Drosophila melanogaster: one gene and its partners. The protein of the gene in region 3 interacts with the protein of the main gene of each other region in a pairwise test. Each region holds a gene or a part of one and is shown on either strand. Other genes may lie near its edges.

Region 1 (4,831 bases), on a different chromosome or scaffold from region 3:
GACCCTTTTCGATATCGAGTAAATTAGCCAATTCATATTTTCCAGTGCAAATTTACAAAGTTAAGCGGAAATTACTGTGGCAGTTGGGTCTTAATATCTTAGAGGTGAAGTCAATTGAATCGAAAGTAAAGATACAAGATACTAATTTAAGAGATTGATCGCATGTATCAAAAAGGACTTTACCACATTTCTTCTAATCAAGTGATTAAATTATAAGATATTAGGTATCAGAGTTTAGATAATCCTGTTGTCCGAGGACTTTCTCTAGCAGATTTCGGACTTTGATCAAGATTTAAGATCAATCTGTATTGGGATTGAATATCAAACCCAACTAAGAACTCACAATTGAAATGGAAAAATGTAACATTAGATACATTAAAAAAAAGAAGAAAATAACATAAAATTTCACCACAAATATTCGGTTTTGAGTCACTAATATTTTTCCAAGTAGTATGATTCACGTAAAGTACATTACGTGATAATAATAAATATAATTAGTATGCTAATAATTTACTTAAAACGTGTAACACTTATTTAAAAAACATAAATTTGGAAAAGCTTTAGGAAAAAATCATGTTGTAGGAATCTAAGGGATCTTTAAAGAATTCTATAATTATTTTTACGATCGACGTGTCAAAACCATGATCTAATCTCAATGATTCATTTCTAAATAACAATAAATCAGCAATACATGCATATGTTTAATGCAAAAACTCAAATATATACTATATCATATCAACTTGAGTATACAGTTTAGTTCTTTGGTGAAAAATCTACAATCTATGATGACAGCGTCATTGCGAGTTGGATTTTAACACATACATATGGAAACCCCATTATTAAACTCATAAATTCACATGGCAACAAAGAAATACAAAGCATAGTTAACAATCATTTGCTGTTTTTGACCTGAATTTCTCACCTTAATCATTCGCTGCAGGTTAACTTGGTTGGTTCAACTTATAGCCAGATAACTAAGGTGTGATCTTCAATCCTCGGCAGTCTCGTCCTCCTCGTCCTCGTTGAAGGACAGCTTACTACTGGCGGCCTTGGACTTCTTGCTCTTGGATGTGCTGGATTTTTCGGACTTCTTGTTGGTTTCAGATTGGGACTCTTTTTTCTCGATGTTGGGCTGCTTGACACAGTGTTTGAAGACTATTGGCTGCGTCAGATCCGCTCGCTTTTCGGCTAATTCTGGAAGATTGAAAATGGGAGTTAGTTATGGGTCAGCAATCATCTGTACTTATTATGATCGTAGTAAAGCGTGTAAGTAAACACCTATTTACAAGTTAAATGGAGTATTTAAGTTATATAAACTATCTTAGAATGAAAAATATTTTGGGGAAAGTAGTATGCACAAATTTAGGGAGAAAAATGCCAATACATATATCAAAGCTGATATAAATAAAATAAATTTAAAAATTGCATTAACTAAAAGGAATACAAGAAAGTTTTTGAAAATTGATCTGCTTATAAAATTGCCAGGAAGGTGACTAATATGCCAGCAATTCATTATTGGATTGGAAAATGTATCTGGGTTTTAAAAACTGCAGCATGACAAATGGGGAGGAGGGAGGTGTAAATCAGAACAAGCCACCCACCGACCCCCCCCTTTTCCAAGCAGCACCCACAAGATGTTTTTCTCGGCCCTGGGAAGCCCCTTCTCGCCCGACGCTCCCGCTTCACTCCCCCTCCCGCTCCACCCACTGATTCGCAACCCGCCCCCGCTGTTCCGCCAGCCCCTTCTTCAACGCCTACCCCCTCCCCGCAGCGCCTTTGCCACCGCCACCACGTCGTCAAGCCACTTTGGCCCGCTCTTTTCCTCTTTGCTCGCCTGCTTCGTTCATCATTGTCTCTCCGCTTTGCCCGCCTCCTTCATCCGTTCGTTCTTGCACACGTTGTTTTCACCCGATTTTCTGCGCTCTTCCAAGTGGGGCTGAAAGGGGCAGGGGGGCGAGCGGAAGAGGCGGACAAAGCGAGCGGCGGCAGCTGCTGTTGTTAACTTCTTTGCCGGCTGCTTTATCGCCGCGCCCGCTTTGCCAACGATTTTCATCACATGCTCTGCTTTGGCGGAGCCCCCAATGAAAATGTCAGTGTGTATGCCTCGTCGGCTAGCTGCTGCGGGTGTGTGTGTCTGTGTGAGGGGTGCTCCGCTGGGCAAAAAAGGGAATCTTTAGGACGGAAATGACCAAGATTGCCATGGCAACATAGGGCTTTAAAAAGATTGAAAAACCGAAGGTGCTTTTCGAAAAAAAAAACACATACTTCTTGCAACAAACTGCTGTTTTCGCACTACCGTTAGATTTTCATTTGGCAAAAATGCACAAGCACACGCGCGCACTCATACATAAGCAACGGTATATACGCAGTTATGTATATATACATATATGATTTAGATATATGTAACGCCGGGCAGAAGAAGACAACCGCTCGATTCTGACTGAAAAGTTAAACTGAAAGACAAACTACAACATCCTACCTACGCACACACGTGCAACTGCCGCCGCCGCCACCGTGGGCTATATGCATGTGTGTGTGCGTGTGCGAGCGTGTAAGTATGTATGTACTACAGCGATATGTATGTATGTATGCTTGTACATATGTACCGACCTTTGGAGGCCAACAGTTTCTCCGTTTTGGCCTCTTCGGCGGATAGATCTCCCGGCCTAAGGACGACCACCTGCGGCTGTTCGTCCTCCCGTGAATCTTCCTCAGAATCGTAGTCCTCCTGGTCCTGCGGATCCAATCGCTGACGCTAACCAATGGTTATATATCCGCATTAGAATGCTGCAGAGGCCTTCCCCGTAGAACTCACCTTGGTCTCTACGGTGGGTCCCTCCTTGTAGCCAATTTCAGCCTTCAACTTGGCCAGAAAACTAGGTTCTTGCGGCTTTACGTACGTTATGTTGCGCTTGGACATATCAGATATGGCGGCTATATCATTGCACTTCTTGACCGATTTAGCAGCGGTTTTTGCACTTTTTATTTACCACAAATGTCGATAAGAAAAACATATGCTTATCGAGCAGTGTGGGAAAGCGCGCGTTGACAATACTAAATCGATTTCAACTGCTATACTTTAAAGTAACGTAAGACAATTGTAAATCCAGTTTTAATAGTTATAATGTTAAAGTTTAAGCTTGCTCTTTTAATATTATTAGTCCCAATTTTTGAGTCCTTGATATTTATCGATAGCACCGATAAGTAACAGCTGTACTGCCGTGTGCATAGTGCTGCCTGAAAACCAATTGTAGATGGGCAGCACTGTTAGGCAAAAGCGGTTACTTTTTGAAAATGCTTACTGTTGATAAAGAGTTAATATTTCTTAAAAATTTCTATAAATATATAATATTTATCCTATTATTTTTGATGCATTTCTTTAAGTATCTTAAGTTCCCATTTCCAACTGGCATTTCCGCTGAGAAAACCGATTGCCCCGAGACGTGCCATCAATTTGCGAATCCTCGCTGCCAATCAAAAAATGGGCGCATAAAACTGTCGCATAACTTGCAAATTTTCCGCTTCACCTGGAATTCCGTGCTCCAAAACAGAAATTTGATCGCTTCTGACAGCAAAACAATACACAGCGGCATTCATCAACGTCAGTGGCTTCCATTTGCAATGTCGTATGCACAGACTCCTCCTCGATTGAAGCCCCCTATTCGTTCCTGGGAACATAATAAATCATCTGCAAATTGATTTCAAAACTTCGACAGCTAACCAAAAAAGAGCTGCCGAAAAAAAAAGGCAAATGAAAACTGCAGCAAAGCGGAGAAATTTTATGAGCTGCAGCATATGTTGGCAAAAACACAAATAGGATGCACTGAGAAAACAGCGTTTCATATATTTAGTTTAGTTATAAATAAAATACGTGAGAGGAGCTAAACAAAAGTTTTTTTTTTTTGGTTTTTTTTTTGCATAAACCCAAACAAATATCTGTAGACTGACAGATAGAGAAGAATTAAATTAGTGTCATATCCAGTGAAAAATATGACAATAAAACATAAATTTATATTTCAAATATATTCCTTTTGTTTTTCCGTGAACGAATTCCCCATGAAAAACTCCGATTTCTGCATTCTGGCACGCGGCAGCAGCTTTTCCCCCGAAGGATTTTCGTCGGTCCCCGAACTAATATCAAATTGATAGCTTTTAAATTTGATTTCGCGTCTTATCACCGACCGCTTAAGCGAACAGTTTCGGAGCTGCAGCCCCCAATCGCTACGCAATCCACAGCGATGGTTGGAAAAACAAATGGAGTGTGGCCGGGTGGAGGGAGCACCCCCTCATGCATTAAAAATGAGGATGGCAGGGCATTTGATGCTGTGCAAGTGCAACGTGGCGTATGCTTGTTGTGTTTTGTTTTGCTCGCTTTGCGTCCGCATTGAAAATACATTGAAAATGCCGGTGCAACACAAGTGTTTCGGCCTTGATACGGATACGATGCTATATGCTGGATATAGAGTCATCCATCCGACCGTCCCATTCAGAATCCATAGGCTTCAAGTCACATGCCGGCCAACTAATATCGAGCACTCTTGAGAACGCAGAGCCTCAGGAAAATGTTATCACAGTCTGCATCCGGCACGGAGTCCTCCGCCTCTGCCGAAGTGCAACTCGGCGATTCGGTTCAAATTCCGCTTTACAGTCTCTGCTCCTCGGCGCTCAGATGCTAGTCGGCATTTGGCGCGTGCAGTTCAGTTCAGTTCACTCGGTCGAAAATTGCCCGGACTCGTTTAATAGCGGAATATCGTTCTAAAATTAAACATTTCGCGGAGGCACTGAGAGAAAACTATCGCTCGAATCGCTAGTAATTCGGTAATTTTGCTTA
Region 2 (7,810 bases), about 11 Mb from region 3:
ATAAAATGTAAATGTAAATGCACCTGAAGAAATCTATCTATCAAATGACGCTGTGCCATCAACAACCACTTCAATCTACTGATAAGAGGAGTATCATTTTCCACAGACCTTATTTGTTTACGTCCCACGAAATCAATGTCAAGTGCATGCTGCATACACACCAATTCTTCTATTTTTCCAACCAACAGCAACTTGTGCGAAAAACTTCCAAAAAACAAAAACAAAATAAACGAAAAATTAAACTGACCACAAAAAATAAAGTTAAATGCAGACATATGAAATCATAAATGATTGTTCATAATTTTAGCTCAAAACGCTGCTGCCAAAAAAAGTTGCCAACGGCCTCGTTTTGGGTTTGGTTAAAGTTTTGAACATTTGCTAATAATAATAACAGCGTCCAAATAATTTATACTATTCATGCAATGAATTCCTACAGAAGCAATCAAAGTTGCACTGAAACTGAAGTATTGAAGTGGAAACTATCGCTTTCGTTTGTTTGTAAAACTGTGAGGAGTGTTTCGCAACGAAACAAAAAAAAAACAAATAATAACTATGAGTTGAATTTACAAGCAGCGCTGCTTAAAATCCGATAAAACTACACTCAAACAAACAGCACCTTGGTTTAGAAAATGTCCGTTAAGCCAATGGTTAAACTTAAGTCGTTACACTGGTCAGCGCAGCTTTCGAGAAATGAACACCAACGAGAATATGGGGAAATCCTGCAGATAATTGATTAGCTGACCGATTTAATCAAGGAATATTTGTATGAAGCGAATTGGTTTTAAAATTATGGCTAAACAGAATTGGAAACGAAAGCCAAGAGAAAAGAATACGAAGCCAGCAATAAAAGAAAGAGTAGATATTGTTTTATACATATAAAAACTCAATAAAAACACTAAATACATGATATGTTAAGGCTTGTGCTGTGCATATGGATTTATTTCAGGCAGCAGAGAAGTATAACCAGTCCCAGCAGGCAGATAACCCAGTTCAAGCACCGCGTATTGTCTCCAATGGATACCATGTGGTAGGTTGGTGCCTTCGTTTCCGGGAAGTGTAGAACCATCAACTCGGGATTCGTGCTGTTCCTTTGCGTGGAATTTTGCTTAGCCAAGCATTCTTTAAGCAGTCTCTCCAAGAAATGGATCCTTTTGTACACGCACTCGAAGCCCGTGTGGTAATCGTAGACTGATGTCCCATTTCGAATGAATTTGCCCCATTTATCCACTAGAAACCAATCGAGATTGTTTAGCCGGCTTCTCCCAATTGTAATGAAGAAAACTCGAGAATCGTTTTCCACATGGAAAAAGGCGTACTTGTGGTTTTCGTCCTGATTGTGGTAATGGGGAAGAGTATAATACGTTGAAAGTGTCTTTTTCTTTGACCTTCTTTCGTGTATGCCCCGGCACAAAAACACGAATGTCTTATTCTTGATTGGCCAGCATTGTGGGCTTATTCCCATGTTTACATGAAAAGAAAATGAAGGAAACTATGTTTGTGATAGCAAAACTAGAAAATGTAATACAGTTTAATTAAGATTAACATTAAAAACCAGATAATTATGATTCGCAACTTTCCAACTAAGAGTTTCTTTGTATGTATATATTAAGCTTCCCTAAACAGTGGTAAGTAGTGGTAGTATAGTTTCTAACGGTATATTTAGTGCCAAAATATTTGAATTATCAGTGTGGCCATACTGCGCAACTTTAGTCTACGAAAGAGCTAGCTAGCTTCTATGCGATAGTATCGCCATCATCGCCGAACTGCAAGTTTTTGCACCGTCGAAGAAAAAGTTGTCTAAATATTTCAGTTCGGTGTTGTTACTGCTATAAAATCCAGTAACACATACAAAATGATTAAATCGTGAGAACATATATATCGCAAATTTGCATGTGCATAATGTAAATTTGTTCCGGACAGCAGCTGCGAATGAGAATAGTCCCCCGCCCCCGCGAAAAGAATTGCATTTAAACTCCCTTGTGTTCCCCAATAGCAGCTGTTGGCCTGCCAACCCCCACCACCCACTCTCTTTGTTTTGCCCAATCGGAAATCCCCACCCGGTTATTCGCGTAATCCCGGCTTTAGGAATTAAGAAAATTACCAAAATCGCAATATTTCTGTGTTACACATATAATAGAGGTAAGAATTATTTTGGGGACATTTGTTATCATTGAACAGCTGTTCATAGTTTGCCCACAGCCGAACAGCTGATTTGGCGTTTTCCCCAAATTGAAGTCAATAGTATCGAAACATTCAATATACTTAAAGCTGAATGTTATTCGTAAATTTTAATTTAAGTTAATACAAAATAAACGCATCAGCTTAATATCAGCTTAGACATATCGATATGCTGACATATCGATACAACGCTCATCCCTATTGCGTTGGCTAAAATAAAGAACTGCTGAACTTAATTAGTAATAAGTTGTCATAAGTTATTTAGAGCTTCCGTGGAAACCCCCATCATCCCAGTGCATGGAATCCGATAAAAAGTTTTCACTTTTCACTGCGGCGCTTGTGTTTTCCCCACGTAGCTTTGGAATTTCCTGCTAACGGCGATGAAAAACTTGACGGAAAAGTGGTGCTGACAAAAGAGTGTGTATTTGACAAGCAAAGAAAAAATTTCCGTCTTCAAACTTTATTTTGAGCTTTAAATCGTTTTTACTCGCTCGAGAACTGTGCAAATAATAGCCCCGAATTTCCATTTGGAGTACCTAGAGTACATAGCTGGCAATAGCTTTGGAACCCAAATACTTAACCCACTGCTTGTTTTTGTTTCTGTTTCCGGACAAAAAAAGCAAACTGGTCTCTGTTAGACAGTTGTACCTCCTCATACCCGTAAATTAAACATTTTTTCGTACATATACACAATTTTAGCGCATTTTGGCCTGCATGCGCTGCAACGCACCTTTGCCGTTCTGGTAACGTTGCCCACTAGACGACTGAAATGGATAGCTTGGAGAACGACCAGGAGGAGCTGCACCACCAGCCGAGGGTCACCTTGGCGTACGGCAGTGTGGCCACCAGTTCGGGTGGACAGGAAAACCGTAAGCTGGCCATCATCTGGAACCAGATAGTGCTAATCCTCTTGTGCTTTTGCAGATTCCCAGTATGCGATGTACTATAATCAGCAGAGGGATTCGGAGGGCTACATGCTAATGACGCCCTTCCTGTCCAGTTCGCAGAGCCACAGCCACACCCGTTCGCCGCCCACGTACACCGCCATGGTGGAGCCACGTCGCGAAGAGAGTTCTGGATTTGAGGGCTTGGCCAGGCGGTGTGACAAGTGCAGTTCGCTGGACGGACTCTGCCGCTGCGAATCGATGGTGGCCAGTAGCAGTCGCTATGCGGACTCCACACAGAACCAGTCGCATTCGGAGGCTCAGTTCTTGGAGCAGCCCTCATCCTCCACAGCGGCGATCGCCAATCCGCCCGCTGTTCATTCCATTCCACGACCCAAGCGAAAGAAGACTGAACCCCTGACAATGGAGCCAGAGAGTGACAATGACGGCGACGCGGTGGTTGCGTCCGTCAGCGGCACATGGCCTGCCGGTGCTATAGAAGAGCATGCTATGGACTCTACGGCGGTCGTTTACGAGGTCCCCTCTAGTTCGCTGCAGCTCAGCAACAGCTCCTTCGAAACCGCCCCAAGTGCCGTAAATGCTTACGATGATGTGACATCGAGTGCCTCGGACACGGAGCACGGCCAGTTTGCTCATACGCGTACCACCAACACCACGACGACTACGTCTGCCGTTCAGGCTCACAAGAAGAAGGCCAGCCGCTCCAATAATGCCTCCAACACCTCTTCCAGAGCAGTAGATACGGATGCCACGCCAAGCACGAGTGCCCAATCGAGAAAGCGACAGATGAGTCAATTTTCTTATCGCAAATCAAGGGTTTTGGAGCCGGAAAACGAGAGCAGCGATGATGGCTGGGATTTGCGTGTGCATAATCCCGTTCCACCAATTGAGCCCACAGTAACGATTATCCGTGGTAGCAGGGGGTCCGACGAGGCCGAGATAGGTCATACGGATCACAACTACTATAATAGTCGGTGCGCTGTGGCGGGAGCTCCACCGGATAGTACCTACATTAGGTCAGCCTCCTGCTCCACGGCCACCCATACTACACGTAGCGTGGATTATGGATCTCGCATTGGTCGAAGGTCGGCTGCAACAGGATCACCGTCCACAAGCTCGGATCAAGAACAGGAGCAGCAACAGCGCCAACAACAGGAGGAGATTATTCACGAAGAACGGCGTCATCAGCAGTCACCAGGCCAACCCATGCACAGTATGTACGGTGTTCCCGGCGAGTCTAGAATGTCATGGAGTCGTGCGCGGCCCTCTGACGACTCAGTGCCGCCTAGGAAACATGCGCGCATGGAACTGCCCGGAAGATCGCGTTCCAAACTGTCCTCAACGAATTTTAATTCGTTCTATCCTGGAAGGAGAGGACACCGAACCTTTGCGGAGCAAGGGAACAGTTCTGGGCAACATCATGTGCGGTTTCCACCATCCTCGACGCCGAATTCGAACGGGCCCTGTGTGATTACGTACGTCGGCCGGCCAAGAGATAGTCAGCCCGCCGCGGATCTCAATCTTCCGTCCACATCCACGGGAAGACGTGGCAGCCATGAGACCCGCGCCGATTCCGTAGTCTTGACGGCACCAGACTTGCAGCTGGATGATTGGTCATCGGACGATGATGATGATGACGTAGTATTTGTGCACTCCACTCGTGAGCCCATACTCTCAATCGATTTGACATCCGACGACGATGGCTTGGCCAATGATACGCAACTGCAGAGGGATAGGGATAGGGGCCGTGAAAGAGAACGGGAGCGAGCAAGGGATCGGGAACCATATCGTAATGACACTCAACCCAACCCGGAGGATCCAAATGAGGATAGGAGGACCATGTATGACTGTGCTTACACATTCCCCTATGCTCGCAGGACAGATCGTCGTACAGAAGCGAATAATGAGGGCACCTCTGCATTCGCATTTTATAGTGGCGCTCTAGCTGATCGGGCTGCCATTTCGGACCACAATTACAGCTACGAGCTAGACCAGCTGATGGATCCCGGCCCCGGTAATTTTTACCCGCCCCGCTGCTCCAACATGGATCCACAGCGCTACTTCCTTCCGATAAACGAATCCTCGATGTGGATGCCAGGCCATCCCGCTCCCCCGCCACCTCCGCCCCCGATGCCCCCAATTTTGCTGCCTGACAACTCTTCCACTGAGGCATACTTACGTCATCAGCAAAGAAATCTTACATCCACTCCAAGCAGCTCGTCCAGCGAGCAGACATCAACGCAGCAATCCCGCCACAGGCGAAGTAGCCCGGCGAACGTGTATCATCGTTACCATCCGTACTATTATGCGATAACAACGCTGCCAACTGTGGTGGAGTCGGACTACCCGCCGAGTCTCCAGCCTCACCCTCACCCTCATCCTCATTTTCAGCCCAGTCAAGGCGGAAGCAGTCGCAGTTCTTTGAGTGGAGCTTTGAATGCGGCTGCAGTGGCAGCCACAGCGGCGGCGGTACAGGCACAAACTTTTAGTGATTTGCTATCACAGGCCCATAATGAGGGACGTGCTGCGGCCCTGGAAGGCAACCGGACACCTCCACATACAATGGTGCATGCGCAACACCAGCAGCGGCAATCCATTAATCCGCCAGCGCCAGGAGTGGCATCAAATGCAAACCTGGCGGCAGCTGTTTCTCCACCACCGCCGCTTGAAATGTATTCCGGACGGAGCACCATTCCGCACTGCGGATCTCCGCCGTTCAGTGTTCGACGCTCCGAAGCTGCGTATAGCAATAGACAGCACTATCAGCCGCAGCCGCATCAAGGTCACCAGGCACCGCAGAACCAGATGCACGCCCACATTCATCCCCCTCACCGGGCCAGCGCCATAGTGGCCACCTCGCTGACGCCGGCTCCACCGTATCCGGTCCATCAAAATCTGTGGTACCGCCAGCAAAGCATGCAGGAGATGCACCGTCGCCACATGACGCCCACACCTATCGATCTTTCTTCGAATGCTCCGCTATTAACGAGCACGCTGCGAAACGGGTACCTGCATAGCATCTGCAGTTGTGTTCATGCTCGGAACGGTCCCGTATCAAGCCTGGATCCCGCTTACTATCCGCCGTACGACGCTGCACCGGCAGCTGCTGCTCCTCCACCATCTCCTCAACAACAGTCGCCTGCTACATCCGGTTCTGGCAATAGTAGCGTGGCAGCACAAGCGAGTATGCGACATCTGCAGCTTCAGCCCCAACAGCAGCCGCAGGCTCAGCAATCGCCACCAGTAATGCAGCATATGCAGCGCCAGCGGGCCATACACCACCACATGTTCCATCACCACTACTCACCACTGCATCTGGAGATTGGGCTGGCCCCCCTATCTCTGGGCTCCCGTATCCTTATCGCACCATCACGTCCAAACCGGGGAGCTACTTTGGTAAGGCCGTATAGAAATCAAAGTCATACCTATTTATATTAATTAGTTTTTACGTTTATTTCAGGAAACTATTGAGCGGAATACCTTGCCTCACAAATATCGACGCGTCCGAAGACCCAGTGAGACCGATGAGGATGCCGAGAAGTGCGCCATTTGCTTAAACCTCTTTGAGATAGAGAACGAAGTTCGGTAAGTTCAATGTGGACGTTACCTTATAAAGTTCTCTAATTATATTAAATAACAATTGCAGCCGCCTGCCGTGCATGCATCTATTTCACACGGATTGCGTGGATCAGTGGCTAGTCACCAACAAGCACTGCCCCATTTGTCGCGTCGACATCGAAACACACATGCCCAACGACGCTCTTCCCCCCAGCTCCAGCGGAGTCCCAGATGCCGCCAATTCCGCCGCATTATGACATTGTGTGCACGGCATCTTTATGTAAATCCCTCAGACTGAGTTTGTTCTCGGCATGCATCGATACAAGAACAAAGAATGAAATATTCGTAAAAACCCCTATATACATACCTTAAAATGTTTAACCCACCGCAACGTATGTAAAAGGCAGTTGCCACAGCTTGCTGCCGTGTTGCGCTGAAAGATATCAAAAAGCTAAATTTGTTTGGCTCAATTTCTATGTCTAAGTATATTAAGTGATTCGGCAAATAATTTCCTATACATATGTACAAATTGTCTACGTTTTGTGAAACAAAATTCTTGTGATAAGAATTTCATAAATATGCGTATATTGTTATAGTATAGAATTCCCACGACGGGCGTATATGATAACTTTGACCCCAGCTTGTTGTTATATTTTTAATGATCACACAAAATAATATAACATCGGACCCTAAACTTAACCGATTAGAAATCGATTTGGCAATTTGCATTTTTCTTGAGTAATTATTTGAAGGACTTAAAATCTGGACGATTTCCTCTCATTATTTAACAAATTTTGTTATGTTTTGATTAGTCACAAAAATGTAGAGAATAATCTTTTATTCTATTACCAAAGACCCTAGAATAATTCTATTCTATTCTAGTGTCTTTGCTATTACCAAATTATATATAGTACATCTATTTAATTTAATAGATTACGGATTATTGCTCAATATCTCATAACGTGCCATATATAAGTGAATTGATTCGATGCAATTTTTTAAATCTTGAGCTAACATATTTTAAAAAGGTTGGTTTTATATTATAGAAAGTTTCCTAAAACTTTTAAAAATTGGCTGTCTAAGACGGCAGAAATCAATAAATAATCCAATAAACGTCTGTTGATTTTTATTCCACCGATAAAAATACGATACACCTTTATTTCTGTTTG
Region 3 (6,956 bases):
AGAAGGACAGGCCCCAAATGGAAGTGAGTGCATCCGCTTTGGCTGAATTTTTGGACACAGAGGCTATCATTCCGTTACGATTAGGGCGCACTTAATGCCCCTGCCCTAGGTCAATGAACAGCGATCGGTGGGCTAGAGTAAACATTTAGCTGCCGCATGTGGCAAAAGCTAAAGTCGCCTGCAGCTGCAGCGGCACAGTGTCAACATCTGGTGTTTGTTGCACTTTTTTGCATCCTCGCACATGTGCAACGCTGGCGCAACGCATGCGCCCTGCTTGAGGTTGTTTTTTTTTTTTTGAAAGCATAGAACTAAAACCAAAGACGTGCAGATACGGGTATAAATAAAGTATGTAAATGCGACGCAGCAATTTTGACATATTAGCAGCTAGCTAGCTGAGTTGCATCCTGAGTGCATTGACCGCACACAAGCCACACATGTCACATAGCATGTGCTCCACGGTGGGGGTACAGTAGGCTCTGGGCATTGGCGTACACCACGAGGATATGTTTGCAAAATATGACAACTCTTTAATAAATTCACTTTTGGCTTTTTTGTACAGAGTATGTTTGTTGTGGTAGACAAAAGTTACGTAGTCACATAGAACTGCAGTTAACAACAGTATACTATCAAAAATATAAAAATGTTTTCTTTTCGGCCATCGAACATGCCAAAAGGGGAATATCACCGTTAAACGCCTTACGAACAAGGACTAATACAAACTTAAGATACTAATAGCTATGTAGTATACCCCACAGATGCAACACATTTCAAAGGTATCTGATACCTGGGAGATTGTCGACCAGATCAGAAGTCATGGCAGCTCGTAGGCACGTTCTGAAAGGAAAGTTCGGTAAGTAAAGCTTAATCTCTTTGTCCTCCGATTCACTGCTTACTCTTAAGGCTCAGCAATTTGTTGGCATGGCGACGTAGATTCTCTTGGTTGGGATTGCGCAGGACTTCAGCCGCCGCCTCCTTAATCATGCCCTCGATGCTCTGCAGCAGCCATTCCTTATTGGGGCACGTAATAGCCAGACGGTAATCGCCATCCGGTGTCCGCGACACGTTCCACTCTGCGGCGGAGTCGTCGCAGTCTCGGCTATCATTGCTCTCCGTGTCCTCCGTCTTTATAGCAATGCACCGACGCACCTTGGACGGCTCATCTTCTTCGGCGGCTTCCGGCACGGACTTGCGCTTCTTGCTATTGAGCTGGCGTTCGTCTTGGATGCGATCCCGCTTGGGGCACGTACATATTTTAACATGTATAACATGCTGTCCCACGATATCGCCGCTGCAAGAAAGAAAACACGTTAAGCTTTGTTCTAGCCATCTAGAGTTTTGCTGTCACCTTACCATGCTTTCTCCAGGCAGAAGACTAAGGAAGTTTCTTTTCGCCCGATACACGAGTTTTGGCAGACGAACTTGAAGGCCAGGGTCTGGCGCGTGAGCCCACTGCGGGTTACAGACCGGCTCATGTTCAGGGGGACTACAACGGAAAAACGCTCGGAAATTCCCTTGCCCTGAGCATTTCCACAATATACACTGTTGGGATTCTCGCTGCGCAGCAAGCTCTCGCGCATTTTTGCGTTATTGGCCGTCACTAAAGGTTTGTACAAATGATAGTTAAATAATCCTGTTCGATCTGTATTGTTATCTTCACTTACAAGGCTCAACGCTAAGGTGATTTTGACAGCGGACCACGGGAGCACTCACATCATTGGAGAAGCAAAGGAACACACGCAAATTAAGTGGTTGGATGGGCATTTTAGACTTGAACTGAACGTCCACGTTGAAGGCCTTGTTCATCCGGATGTAGAGCTTGTTCAGCGGAATCGAGTACATCCAAAGAGACTTGGGCGGCTCATCCAGAACCATGCTGAAGCAATAACCACCGATGTTGTGATTCTCTAGCTTGGGCAGCGTGTTCGCCTGGATCTGAATGTCCTGCAGCATCATTTCGCGCAGCACGGATTGCTGTAAGCAAAAACAAGATATTATTTGAATGTCAACTTAACTCGCAATCATATAAGGGTTCACACTTTGCGCTCATAGAGCTGATAGAGCTTCATGTTCCAGCTTGCTCGAGTTACAAATGGACTGGCGATTTGTTTTGTATTCTATTCTATTTTTCACAAGTGCTTGAAATTCTCGCTAAACGATGACGACGGGAAGGAGTGCACCGTGCTAATCGGCTAGATAAGAGTGTTTTGTTCTGTCCTCCAACTGAAAGTGAACTTCGAAGCGACTTTGACGTCATGTCGCTCTTATGAAATTGCAGGCAGCGGCTGAGTCACGCAAGGAATGCCGCTTCCCTCACGCTTCTTATGCTCTTTTGTTTGTGGCTAGTAGTAGCACAACGCATGCTCAGTTGGTTTCTGGACGGCCGGTGAAATACATGCGTTTCGCGATGTGTCCCGATAGTGTCCGGCTACTTGACAGGTCCTCTAGATGGCATCAGTTGGGTAGTTGGAAAACAATTAAGCAGATATTAATGCTGTGGAAAGTGCGCTCACAGTTTGTATTAATTGTTCGAGAGAAATGGACTTCACCAGCGACTACGCGCATCGGCGTATGGTGAAATTTCTGACGATCATACTGATAGGCTTTATGACCGTCTTCGGACTCCTGGCCAATCGATATCGGGCGGGCCGTCGTGAAAGATTCCGCTTCTCAAAGGCAAATCTGGCCTTTGCTTCGCTGTGGGCAATTGCATTCAGCTTGGTTTACGGGCGGCAAATCTACAAGGAGTACCAGGAGGGTCAGATCAACCTGAAGGACGCCACCACTCTGTACAGCTATATGAACATTACGGTGGCTGTTATTAACTATGTGTCGCAAATGATAATCAGTGACCATGTGGCCAAGGTGTTGAGCAAAGTGCCCTTCTTTGATACCCTAAAAGAATTCCGTCTGGACAGCAGGTCGCTGTACATATCCATCGTTTTGGCTCTGGTCAAGACCGTGGCTTTTCCTCTAACAATTGAAGTGGCTTTCATACTGCAACAGAGGCGGCAGCATCCCGAGATGAGCTTGATCTGGACCTTGTACCGGCTGTTTCCCTTAATTATTTCGAATTTTCTCAATAACTGCTACTTTGGCGCAATGGTGGTGGTGAAGGAGATTCTGTACGCTCTGAACAGACGGCTGGAAGCGCAGCTGCAGGAGGTGAATCTGCTGCAGAGGAAGGACCAGCTAAAGTTGTACACTAAATACTACCGCATGCAGCGATTTTGCGCCTTGGCGGATGAACTCGACCAGCTGGCGTATCGCTATAGGTTGATATATGTGCATTCGGGAAAGTATCTGACCCCAATGTCCTTGTCCATGATTCTGTCGCTCATATGCCACCTGCTCGGAATAACGGTGGGTTTCTACAGTCTGTACTATGCCATAGCGGACACCTTAATCATGGGCAAGCCGTACGATGGTCTTGGATCGCTGATCAATCTGGTTTTCCTCTCCATCTCGCTGGCGGAGATCACATTGCTCACGCATTTGTGCAACCACCTATTGGTGGCCACCCGAAGATCGGCAGTCATTCTCCAGGAGATGAATCTCCAGCATGCGGACAGCCGCTACCGTCAGGCAGTCCACGGCTTTACTCTGCTGGTCACGGTGACCAAGTACCAAATTAAACCCTTGGGCTTGTACGAGCTGGACATGCGACTGATCAGCAATGTCTTCTCGGCGGTGGCCAGCTTCCTGCTGATCCTCGTGCAGGCCGATCTGTCCCAGCGCTTCAAGATGCAATAGCTAATCGATGTTACCCACCTGGCTGAACTGCATCAGATTCCCGGACTGCGGGGAATAATATTAAATAGTTAGTAAGCTATAGCTTTGCACATTAAAAGCACAACTCACGTTTAATCCCTGCAAGAAGGCCATGGGTTCCGTGGTCCTGGAATAATAAAAACAATAATAGTTAGCAACCAGGCAAACCACATGTGACCACGTGACCAGGTACTCACAATTCCGATCCCGATACCTCCACCGTTTTCGGAATATCCTCCTTGATATCGACCTCCGTGGAGTCATCCTCGGAATCAGTGCTAAAGTGTAAAAGGGAAATAAAAACTTAGTGGCAAACTGCGCCTTGGCTGGATAAACAAACACAAACAAGTTGGCCGCGCGAATGATGCAAGTACAAGCGTGTTGCTACATGCAAGGTTTCTACTGTTCGATCATCAATTTGTTGCCGCACTGTACCTTTCTTTGTGCCACGACATTGGCTGTGATATATACATCTTAGTCGGCTATATCTGATCAAGCGATCTTGTTGGGGAAGGAGGCTAAATATTAAAAATTCGCTAACAAAAAACTACAGAATCGTAGTGGCCACCGACTATTTGGATTTTGCCATTCGCCACGCAGCGCGAACAATCGCCGTAGCCAATGTTTATCGATTGGAGCGCGTGTTTTGAATTTGCTCACCCCTTGTGGCAGACGAATTTGTTGCATGCATTAATTTTGTTATTGCCATCGGAATTATTGTTGGCCAAAATTTCCAGATTGTTCGTGAACTGCATCATGTTGTTCGTGTTGTTGCCTCCGTAGGCTGGATCCACAGGCGTAGCCAGGTGGGCATATTCGTTGGATTCGTTGCCAAAACTCTGCGGCAAGTTGAAAGCTCCGTTGCTGGAGACCCGAACTGCTGACTCTGCAGAAACTTCGTTGCCGATATCCCAAAAATCCAGGAACTCCTTGAAAGCTTCAAAAATTGTGCGACTATTGCTACGCGAAACAATCGAAGTGTTTCTGCAAAAAGGCGCAACATTATTTTGTTGGGTAAGACCGAATAAAATATCTCCGCTCACTGGTTAAAAGTCAAGCTAAACGACGCGGACTTGTGAAGACTCATGGCTGTGCACTCAAATAAATAAATTTTATTTAGCAGTTGCGATTTGTGTCCGCAAGAATCTTCCGTGCTCCAGGGATGTCAACTAACCGGAAATTGGCTAACTTAATGTCATATATCCATGGCTATCGATAAGCTATCGATAAGGATTTGGCCGAGTGCGAACAGTGCTGCCCATTGTGCGGCAAGTTAGAATTTCTGTTTTGAAATTTTTTCAATACTTCAATCTATTTATTAGTTTGCAAATAACGCGCCGTATGCAGCAAATTGGTTTCACTGCACAGCCCTTTGAATGGTCGAGCAATGTACCGTATGATTTCTGGCTCCTACAAAAAATTAAGTTTTATTTAATGGTGAAATTCCAAATTTTAGTCAAACTAAATTTCAATTAAAACGCACGAATTATACAAAGCTTAGGCAGCTACGGCATACGGATATATTTACAATTCTAAAAATGTACATAAAGCGCTACTGGCACAAAAGTCTTTCTCTACAGCAGACATATGATAATGCAGCTCTAATATTTCTCAGTCGTCACTTCGCTCGGCGGCGGCGACTCATTTGTTCGATTTTGAACATCGGTCACGGTGGTGAGGTCAGAGCTCGAGGATTCCCTCGAATGCCTGGGGAGAAATGGAAAACAGCACAGCAATAATGATAAGTGTACAGTGGAGATGACATAATCGTAGATTAAGTATCATATTCACACAATGTTTCAATCACCTGTAAAACACATAGTGCTGCAGCATGAAGAACACATCGAAGAGCACGGAAAACAGACCCAGTCCGAATTTGGTGGGATCACCGAAAATCGACACCCAATCATCTGGAAACCAGACACGATTTCATTCGAAAATCACAAATTGATAGACTATATCCTACCGTAATTATGAGCATTCAGAATCATTTGCAGCATGCTCAGCGTTCCTCCCGTGAAATCCAGCAGAATGTTGCCGATGCTCCAGCCGGAGGTGCTCTTCCGGCGATAGTTCATCAGAGCTTGCGGCACGTACTTGATGATGGTAATGGTTAGCTTGACGTAACTGCAGTAGTACAGAAAGTCCAGCCAATGGATGACGGATCCTCCGGCCAAACCGGCAGACACGACGACCACCACGGCGAAGATGGCCAATATTCCGTAGGCAATGAACGACACCCTTTGCTGTGCTCTCTGGACAAATTTAACAAAGTATGGATGTTTTACAAGTCAAAACCTTATCTACTCTTCATATCGTAACTATCCGCTGTGATTCAAATGATTTGGCATTTTGATTGATGGCAATTAGTGTTCAATGCGACAACTGTTGCCACTTCGGCGATAAGGCTATTGAATGGTATTTGCTATATATATTATTACCTGATAGAAAAAGCACTGAAGGATCGTAATGCAGGTGGCGAACATGGCATGCAGTGAGAAGACCACGTCGTTGAGCATCACAGGATTCACTCCCAGCGGATATCGCACCTCGTACTCGTTCTGCAGATCCTCGATGAAATAGAGGCCGCAGTTGAACATGCTGTACAGGGTGAAGCCCACGATATTGAGGGCCAGGAAATCAAAGTTCAGTCCCTCGACGGACTTGCGGCGATAGTTGCTCCAGATCTGCGGATAGAAGGACACCGACCAGGCCACAAAGTAAACCCAGCCAAAGATGATGGAGGTGTAGATCAAAGCTCTCGATTTGGCCACAGTCACGCGTACGAACACATCCTTCACACTGGAAAATAAGTGAATTTTCCAATTAGGTACGGGAACAGTTGGGATTCCCGTGAAGTTACTCACATCTCTTTGTTCGCATCATCGCTATCTGCGACCACTTTGACGTTGCCGGCTTTGAGGCCAGTTATCACCACCGACTGATTTCGAGTACTGCCCGCTGGATACACAAACGTTGCGGGATCGAGGAGCAAATGATCCTCCGAATCTGTTCCCAGCGCAACTTCCACGTCGCTGTCTAGCAATCCGCTGTAATGGGCACAATAGATTTACGATGCCATATGTTTTGGATTTGGATTTCCCGGCAATGGCAACTCACTTGGCGAACACCAGAAAAGTCTCGTTGCTGTTCAGCAGAACGGTGATGTCATGGGAATCGACGGTGAG
Region 4 (7,727 bases), on a different chromosome or scaffold from region 3:
TAAGAGATGGTCAAAATAATAATACCGAGGTTAACTAGAACGTCTCATATTTTCTAAAGTATTCACTTTTTCAAAATTGAAAAGAGTGGCCAAACGTGGGCAAATAAAGACAACAAATGAGCAAACGATTCCAGCTTTTAAATTTCAAAAATTCCATTTTTTCGACTCCAGCTTCTTTGAGCTCGTACATTATGCGCAAAATGAGAAATCTGCGCACTGAAGTGTATTCGTGTTTTTGCTAGTGGTTGATTGATTTTTTGTGACCGTATGAATATTGAGGGTGCGTCGTCGTTGGAGCAAGCGTCGCAACGGCATGAAACAAACTCTTACAGACTCTGTGACTGAGTCTTAATGCTTAATATCAATATTCTAGTTTTCATTGTTCCCGAGATCACAGCGTTCAGATTGATAGTCAGACGGACTAACCAGTTACTCGATAACTGACCGACTGCATATGAAATCTTCAGTATATGTAAGGAAATACGATACCTATACACCTATTATGGTTAACATAGGTGTAAACGTGTATTCGTTGGGAATCAGATTATCCACCCTTACCTGATTCTTAAGAGTTTCGTCAATGTGAATGGTAGACGTCTTCCGAATCATGTCATGAGAATATTTAAAGTTAACGGGTCCTAAGATCCCGCTCTCTATGAAAAAATGTTTTGCTTTATCAATGCTCGAGTTCAATGGTTGCATTTTTTAGTTCTTATTAGATTAAAAAAGGAGTAAAACGTTGGTCAGATCAATGTTGATGGAGATCTTCTTACTCATTTATACTGAGTATTTCAATAACTAGCTGAAAAGTTTAAAGGATTTGAGCTTTAAGTAGAATAAAACTTTTTATTAGACTTACACATATACCCAACACATGCAAATGTTCATATAGTTGTTTTATTTGTTAATTTTTATATTTTACATTATTACAAATACAAAATATTAAGTGCCGAAGATCTGTCGCACGCTTCTTTGTGTGAATACTCGACTAGAACATATATGGGAAACAATACCTAACCCAATAAATGTCTTAAGATATAAGTTTCTTCTAAACTGATCGAAAATATAACTAGTATTCTATCAGTAGTTTTGTGTCATTATACATTATACCCTCTTTCCACTAAATTACCTGCATATATACACATGTTTGGGATATAGTTCACATGATATTTTTGAAGCGATTTTAGGCTTAATGTTATTTTATTAAATTTATATTTATATATATTATTTATATTTATAATTATATTATTATTTATTCGGTAATTTCATAGCTGTTCTGGGCATTACTTTCTTTCCACAATAAACATAACATTAGATGCTGTTAAAATTTGTAGTAAGTAATCGTAGTAATAATAGTAATAGTAGTAGTAAAACTAAAACATTTTTACGGGTAACAACACAAGACTCTCGTTTCACTCTGCATTCAAGCGCTCTATTATTAAACAAGCTCTAATTATATTTCCATCGTTCAATATCTATTTTAAAGAATAGAAGGATTAGAAAACTTTTTCGTCTTATTTTCAAAATTTGTGTCTTATTCGAACACTAACAGCGAACATACCGAAAGCAAACCTTTTATCTGCCCTTATAACCACTTTCAAACCACATAAAAAATTGCAGTTTGTTTATGTTGGTCAATCAATTGAATTTGATTGAACCCCATGATTACCACTTTTGGCATACCCCAAATATCGATATATTTCCCATCAAAGGCAAAATCGATAAGTTATCGTTAACTAAACATCCACAGATTGTAGTTCGTCTAATAAAGGTGTAGACACCAAGTCAATTAATTTTAATAACAAGAGGAAGTTCGTGGGACGGTTAAACCTATTCACAGCATTTCCAAGGTTTTCTAAAGAAGGTGTACCTCATGAAAGAACATGATGGCAGACAGATACGCTTCAGATTTGGCCCTTGTTGTCGTTGCGCAGATAACGCAAACTATTGGTTACAGCTGCACTCTAAGTGCACCCTTGGAGTTGTTGCAAGACATATTGCAGAAGTTTGTACAGGAGTTCGCTCGAGACATGCATAGACATATGGAACACGGTAAGTGGTATAGACCCTCAAATCAACGGAACCGATCATGAAATACAACAAAGCCTGAGTAGTTATAGTCGTTACTTGTAGAATAAGAGATTCAATAAAAAGTATGTGACATATATGTACATGTACATAAATGTATAACTTATCATCCCTGCAGTTCCATCAGACTATCATTAATAAATCATTATTTATCATTAAAACAATTTTGTTTGGAGTTAGGGCATTTTGCTTTCAGTTGCGTTAGAATACCGGTCAACCTGTCCGTTTAACCTTAAAGTAAAATATATTAGTATAATGTGTACAGAAATGTATTACGAAAAATGTACATCGCTTCTGCGAGTAGTACGTGTTGTTGCGTGTAAAATGAATCCATTGCCATTGGAATTTCCTGATTAAGCTCGCGCCTGCTACTCGCATAAATCTAGTCCCAGTTATCCGCGAAAAAGGAAGCGTGCCTCTTAGAAAAGTAATCTTTTAATTTATTTCTTTCTTTTATTGTTATTTCCCTTTTCCTCGCCCAGTCCCTTTCACCTACATCAGTATATAATTTCTCTAGTTCCGATGCGCATTAAAAATTTAAAGTTTCTTACGAAACTTATGTGCTCGGCGACTTAGAGCGTCAGCTTAGCATTCGGCTGGAAATAAAAGATCCATAATTTATTGCTGATTCCCTGCTTGTGGCTGTGCAGCCAAAGCAGTTGGTACTGTGGGCGAAACCGATGATCTTGGGATGTTTTTAAGGAGCGATGAATTGTGGGACTGCCGGGGTCTCGATTGGGGATTATGAAACCTCAATAGGCATGTAGATTGTATTTTTTGCAAATTATTATTTCATTAATTGTCTTGTAAACACCAAAAAAAAAAAAACAATAAATCTTTGATTTATATATATCTTAGATTAAGATATATCTTAGATTAAGATATATTTTAGATTAAGATATATCTTAGATTAAGATATATCTTCCTTGTAACCACCGGAACAGAAATAAAAATAAATAGTTGAGGAACTCGACTAAAGCGTTCTCTTATATTTTCTTTTTAATTTTGCTTGGTATGTTACTTAATAACGTTATTTATATGAGTTCAAAAAAATCTTATTAAAACCAAACAAAAAATCAAAAATGCTTTGTTTATTTGGATAAAATTTATAAAAATATTAATTGACAAGTATATATATTACTAATTTAGCAAATCGGATAGAGCCGAACCTTAAGGATGCACGCTTAAGTATAAAAAATCTCAGCATCAATGTTCAAGAACTATTGGACTACATAGGTAATGTCGAGCCTGTTGGATTCATCCGGGATGTACCACAGTTTCCCATTGGAAAATCTGTAAACATGAACTTCCTTAAGCCTGGAAGCGCTGAAACTCTAACGCGACCTGTCTACATATTTGAATACTTGCCACCAATGCAGGACCCCGAACTTCGTGAAATTCCAGCCGATGTTCAAAAGGAATTTTCGGAAAAGCAAGAGTTTTGTTCAAAAGCAGAGTATAGTTCAACAAACGCAGCTGATAAGTTAGGCGCCAAGCACATTGATTCTATCTCTCCTAATACTGTGATAAATTTCCGGTCGAATGCCTTTGAATTGGACGTTGGGAGCTCAGTCCGCGAAATGAGCAGCGTGGTAATGACAACAGGGGGATTCATAAGTCCAGCTATTGAAGGCAAGCTCCCCGAAGATATCATACCGGATATAGTTGGTACGACCTATCCTTATACCACAGCTTAATAAATTTTCATGTATCGGTGTTTATAGAAAAATTTTTAGGTTTGGATGCACCCTTTTCACCGACGATAATTGTAAATTCGTTACAAAAATCTCCACAACTGGCGCTTTCTGACAGAGACAAAACAGTAAATCCACGAAAAATCATTCCCTCAGAAACTAAAATCTTCAAACAAAATGCTGCATTATTGACAAGTGGACATTCAGAGTCTTCAATAATATATGCGTCTAACAACCATACGATGCTAACTGTTACAACACCTAAGAAGAATAGAAAACAGAAACATGATTTAATATGCGAACCCGGTCAAAGCGAACTTCTAACTAATCCGTTTGAAAAAGCTCAGGAAAAGTCACAGAGAAAAGCTTTAAAAATGTATAAACAAACCTCAAAGAACCAAAGAGACAGCTCAATTAATCAAATACAAAACATGAAAAAGTTAAAAAAAAAATTTAACCGCGGATCCTTCGATCCAAATAAAAAACATTTAGAAAAAATATTTAAGAAGCAGTCCAAACTTAAGCAAAATGATCTTCAACTGGACATCGACGAAAAACACTTTTTGCAGAATTCTCAAACTACGAGCGGCCTTGCCATAAAAGCTAACTCAAATGAAAATGCTTTACAAGCTGATATCCCTAGTCAGCCGCCAACAGTAACAAGCCAGATTGAAAATAATTTTCGAAATTCAATTTATCCAGTGCAGCCATCTGTAATTCAACAAACGCAAGTGCTATTGGCAGAAAAAAAAAGTGGATCAGAACCAGAACGAAGTAAATTGGACATTTTTAAGAAAATTTCTAAGCCACGTACTCCACGTCCAGATATTGGGGCGACTTTAGTACCTCCTGGAACCGGGGTATCTGTATTTGGAAGCACAATGACCCCTTCAGCATTAATTAGTCTTCCATCGGGGACTACTATAACTCCTACACCTTCACTTGGTCTAAATTCTGAAAACAAAAACGTTCCGAGTATGAAAATCAACCCTTGCAATATATTCGATGGAACTATACCTTTAACTAAAGCAGGCGTTGAAATGTCAATTATTGATTCGCCAAAGCCAAAAAAGCGAGGTCGCAAACCTGGAGGAAAAAATGTAATAAAACAAACAAATGTTGTATCGCAACCTTTAATTAATAAGGTCGAACGGAAAAAGTCAAGCCAAGCTATTACACTGCCTCTATCATCATCTCCAATGATAATAACCCAAAGTTCTTTAAACGTCTCCCCGCCAACAGAACCTCTCAACTTGTGTAATACCGAACAGCCCTCGAATAATTTTTTGTCAAACCTGTATGCAAAAGAAAAAAAGGACAGAAAAAAGTACAAATCATTACCAGAAAATGTAATGCAATTAGACAAGAGCTGTTCTCCTGAAAAGGCATCAACACTACATAATTCTATTCGACCCACAAAACAAAATAATGATGTACAATGTTCAGATAAATTTGTGACTATATCCAATGCTTTGTCAAATGCATCAATTTACCCTGGAATTCAAACAGGAATGGTTCCGTTGCTTCCTTTATTGCAATTTCCACCACGACCTGGTCTTATTCCTACTGGACCTGGGCTTTTTCCTGCAGTCACTGGTTTAGTTGGCTTCGGGAATCACGGTAACAGAATACCTATTTCGCCGTTCATAGATTATCCTGGACCAGAAGAATCAGTTGCGGATACTGTTCGATGTCCACCAATTAAGGATTCTCCTGGTACGTCAAATGAGTTATTTTTATACGCATTGCTCGTAGTATATATACGTAGTATATATTTTCGTGACCAGGATCAATAGCCGAGTGGATCTGATCCTGTCCTGTCCGTCCGTATGAACGTCGAGATCTCATGAACTATAAAAAGCTAGTAGGTTGAGATTAAGCATAAAGATTCTAGAGACATAAACCCAGCTGAAGTTTGTTGACCCAAACTTTACTTTACCATACCAGTTCGAGTATCACAGCTCGAAGAATATATTGCTTACATAAAAGTCTCGGCAATATCTTAATTCATTACAGCAAAAATACTAATCTGAAACTAATCATTGAACCGTTGAATGTAGAAAATAGGTATAGGTACACACTCAAGAAGTGGTATTGGGAAGCTTCTAGATGGGTTAGTATGAAATATTTGCGTTTGTCATAAACTAGATATTTGGAGGAGCTCAAATTTTTTTTTTATATTGACAATACGTACCTACCTACAATATGTGAATTATTTGTCGACCAAAATATTTAAATATTTATAATGATTAGAAAAAATAATTTTTAGTTACTGATTCTGATCAATTTCTGAGCCGATCTTCCACGCAAACTGACTTGCAAATGGATCGAAACTACTGCAATGTTGCTCCATTAGTACCTGACTCAATGAAATTCGCCGAGTGTAAGTTTAACGGTAAATATATTTGTAATTTAAAAATAACTTATTACTTATATCTGTAGGTAAAAGCGTATCTTGTGCCAGCACAATATTGGAAAACCCATCTGCACAGGCTACAAGCAAAATAAACACGAAACCGCTTTTGGAGGCTTCTGGAAATCCTGATGATCCAATAGAGGTTTCAGATGATTCAGATGAATCAATGCACAACAGGCAGATGGTTCAAAGAAAAACCCCAATATCATCACCAACTTATGTTAAAACCAGCTTCGCAGAACTAAATCCCTCCTCGTTTACGTCAGCTGCATCTAATGGTGAAGAAAAATCCAAAATGGATCTAAGGAATATTGTGTCTCTAAGCTCTAACGAACCACTTAAAAAATTTAAAAAACTTGTTAAACAGAGTTTTCCCGATGTAAAAAGCGTACCCCACACGCCAGCTTCACATTCATCATTTCCACAATTTAACTTGCCTAATTTTATGGGAGGTGACAAATTCAGTTTAGCTGGGGGAGCAGATCTTATTCCTCTGTCGAGAGTGAGTGATTCGGAATATTCCTCCAAAATAGTACCATTCAGTAGCTTAGGTGGAACCATACCGAATCAAATCAAAATTTCAGAAGAGCACAATATTTTTTCTACCTTTTCTAACTACGAAGATATTACAATAACACCAACTGGATTAACGTCGTTGGAACCGAAAATGCGGAAACATCACAAAAAGCTAAAAAAGGTTAAAGAAGGGAAAAATAAAAAAAAGAAAGAGAAAAAGGACAAATCAAAGAAAGCGGATCAGATTGGCTTACCATCTTTCAAATCCGACCGGAAAATAAAGGCCAATGATAAAAGGCAAAAAAAAGAAAAGAAAAAGGATAAAGATAAGCAGGTTTGTGTCAATTCTTTATTTATAAAAAAATAGGTGTTCGTGTTGTGGTATTTGGATCAGATATGTAGATACGCCGGAGCTGATAAGCAACCTTTGCGATAAGTACGTACACAAACTCATTTGAAAACAGCAAGTTATGTGGGAAACATTTTTAAAATCATGAATTCTGTGAACATATTCCGTATAATAACATTAAATTATGCATTATGCATTATACATTATACATTATGTTCCAAATTTGTATTAATACTTATATAGACTGTTGTGACTAATTATAACATCGAAGCCTACAGCTTGGTATAGGTACAAAAACATCTTAATCCTACATAAACATGTAAAGCAGCCAAATCTTTTAAAGTTATATTTTTAGTTCTTACAAATTTTATTTTAGTCTATACACATATCTCAGCAAAATCTTTTAAAGTTAAATTTATAGTTTAATCAATTCTTATTTTAGATTTTAGTCCATATACCAGATGACACAGAAGAATTTGACAAGGTGCCTTTAGCTAACAACGATGAACCTGTATTGAAATCAAGTTCCATGACAATAAATCCATCGTTAGGTGCCGCCACAAGTGGAATATCTCCAAATCAAATACCAAAACTAACACTAAAACTTAGTGGAAAATCTACATTATTTTCGTCTTCAGAAAAGGAGATGACAGATGCAGGGAAA

Evidence for each region.
Region 1: the proteins of p53 (region 3) and MEP-1 interact in a two-hybrid assay, tested with the Drosophila melanogaster proteins (2 studies listed by BioGRID).
Region 2: the proteins of p53 (region 3) and CG6923 interact in a two-hybrid assay, tested with the Drosophila melanogaster proteins (2 studies listed by BioGRID).
Region 4: the proteins of p53 (region 3) and Taf3 interact in a two-hybrid assay, tested with the Drosophila melanogaster proteins (2 studies listed by BioGRID).

What each region holds. Positions count from the first base shown.
Region 1 is NT_037436.4:2,629,901-2,634,731, reverse strand, and holds the start of MEP-1 (MEP-1), read right to left. Parts: upstream 3,018-4,831; 5' UTR 2,921-3,017; coding exon of another isoform or gene 2,816-2,920; exon of another isoform or gene 2,756-2,815; coding exon of another isoform or gene 2,611-2,755; intron 2,458-2,610; exon of another isoform or gene 2,266-2,457; intron 1,195-2,265; coding exon of another isoform or gene 989-1,194; 5' UTR 923-988; intron 1-922. Other genes in the region: CG42245 (uncharacterized protein), read right to left, coding at 989-1,194, 2,611-2,755, 2,816-2,920.
Region 2 is NT_033777.3:11,744,027-11,751,836, reverse strand, and holds CG6923 (uncharacterized protein), read left to right. Parts: upstream 1-1,807; 5' UTR 1,808-2,139; intron 2,140-2,348; exon of another isoform or gene 2,349-2,595; intron 2,596-2,811; exon of another isoform or gene 2,812-2,877; 5' UTR 2,878-2,947; coding exon 2,948-3,047; intron 3,048-3,102; coding exon 3,103-6,479; intron 6,480-6,543; coding exon 6,544-6,668; intron 6,669-6,729; coding exon 6,730-6,898; coding exon of another isoform or gene 6,899-6,925; 3' UTR 6,926-7,354; downstream 7,355-7,810. Other genes in the region: CG43062 (uncharacterized protein), read right to left, coding at 938-1,462.
Region 3 is NT_033777.3:23,049,154-23,056,109, forward strand, and holds p53 (p53), read right to left. Parts: upstream 4,930-6,956; 5' UTR 4,856-4,929; coding exon 4,812-4,855; exon of another isoform or gene 4,753-4,811; coding exon 4,429-4,752; exon of another isoform or gene 4,242-4,428; coding exon of another isoform or gene 4,204-4,241; exon of another isoform or gene 4,047-4,203; coding exon 3,966-4,046; exon of another isoform or gene 3,896-3,965; coding exon 3,859-3,895; exon of another isoform or gene 3,796-3,858; coding exon 3,769-3,795; exon of another isoform or gene 3,763-3,768; intron 3,751-3,762; coding exon of another isoform or gene 2,536-3,750; intron 2,078-2,535; exon of another isoform or gene 2,067-2,077; coding exon of another isoform or gene 2,037-2,066; intron 1,972-2,036; coding exon 1,662-1,971; intron 1,598-1,661; coding exon 1,351-1,597; intron 1,289-1,350; coding exon 894-1,288; intron 835-893; coding exon 812-834; 3' UTR 504-811; downstream 1-503. Other genes in the region: Gr94a (gustatory receptor 94a), read left to right, coding at 2,536-3,750; Ctns (cystinosin), read right to left, coding at 5,370-5,475, 5,576-5,678, 5,735-6,023, 6,210-6,570, 6,636-6,818, 6,889-6,956.
Region 4 is NC_004353.4:460,826-468,552, reverse strand, and holds the start of Taf3 (TBP-associated factor 3), read left to right. Parts: upstream 1-1,724; 5' UTR 1,725-1,883; coding exon 1,884-2,052; intron 2,053-3,237; coding exon 3,238-3,756; intron 3,757-3,812; coding exon 3,813-5,498; intron 5,499-6,051; coding exon 6,052-6,165; intron 6,166-6,224; coding exon 6,225-7,048; intron 7,049-7,139; exon of another isoform or gene 7,140-7,505; coding exon 7,506-7,727. Other genes in the region: CG33941 (uncharacterized protein), read right to left, coding at 559-702.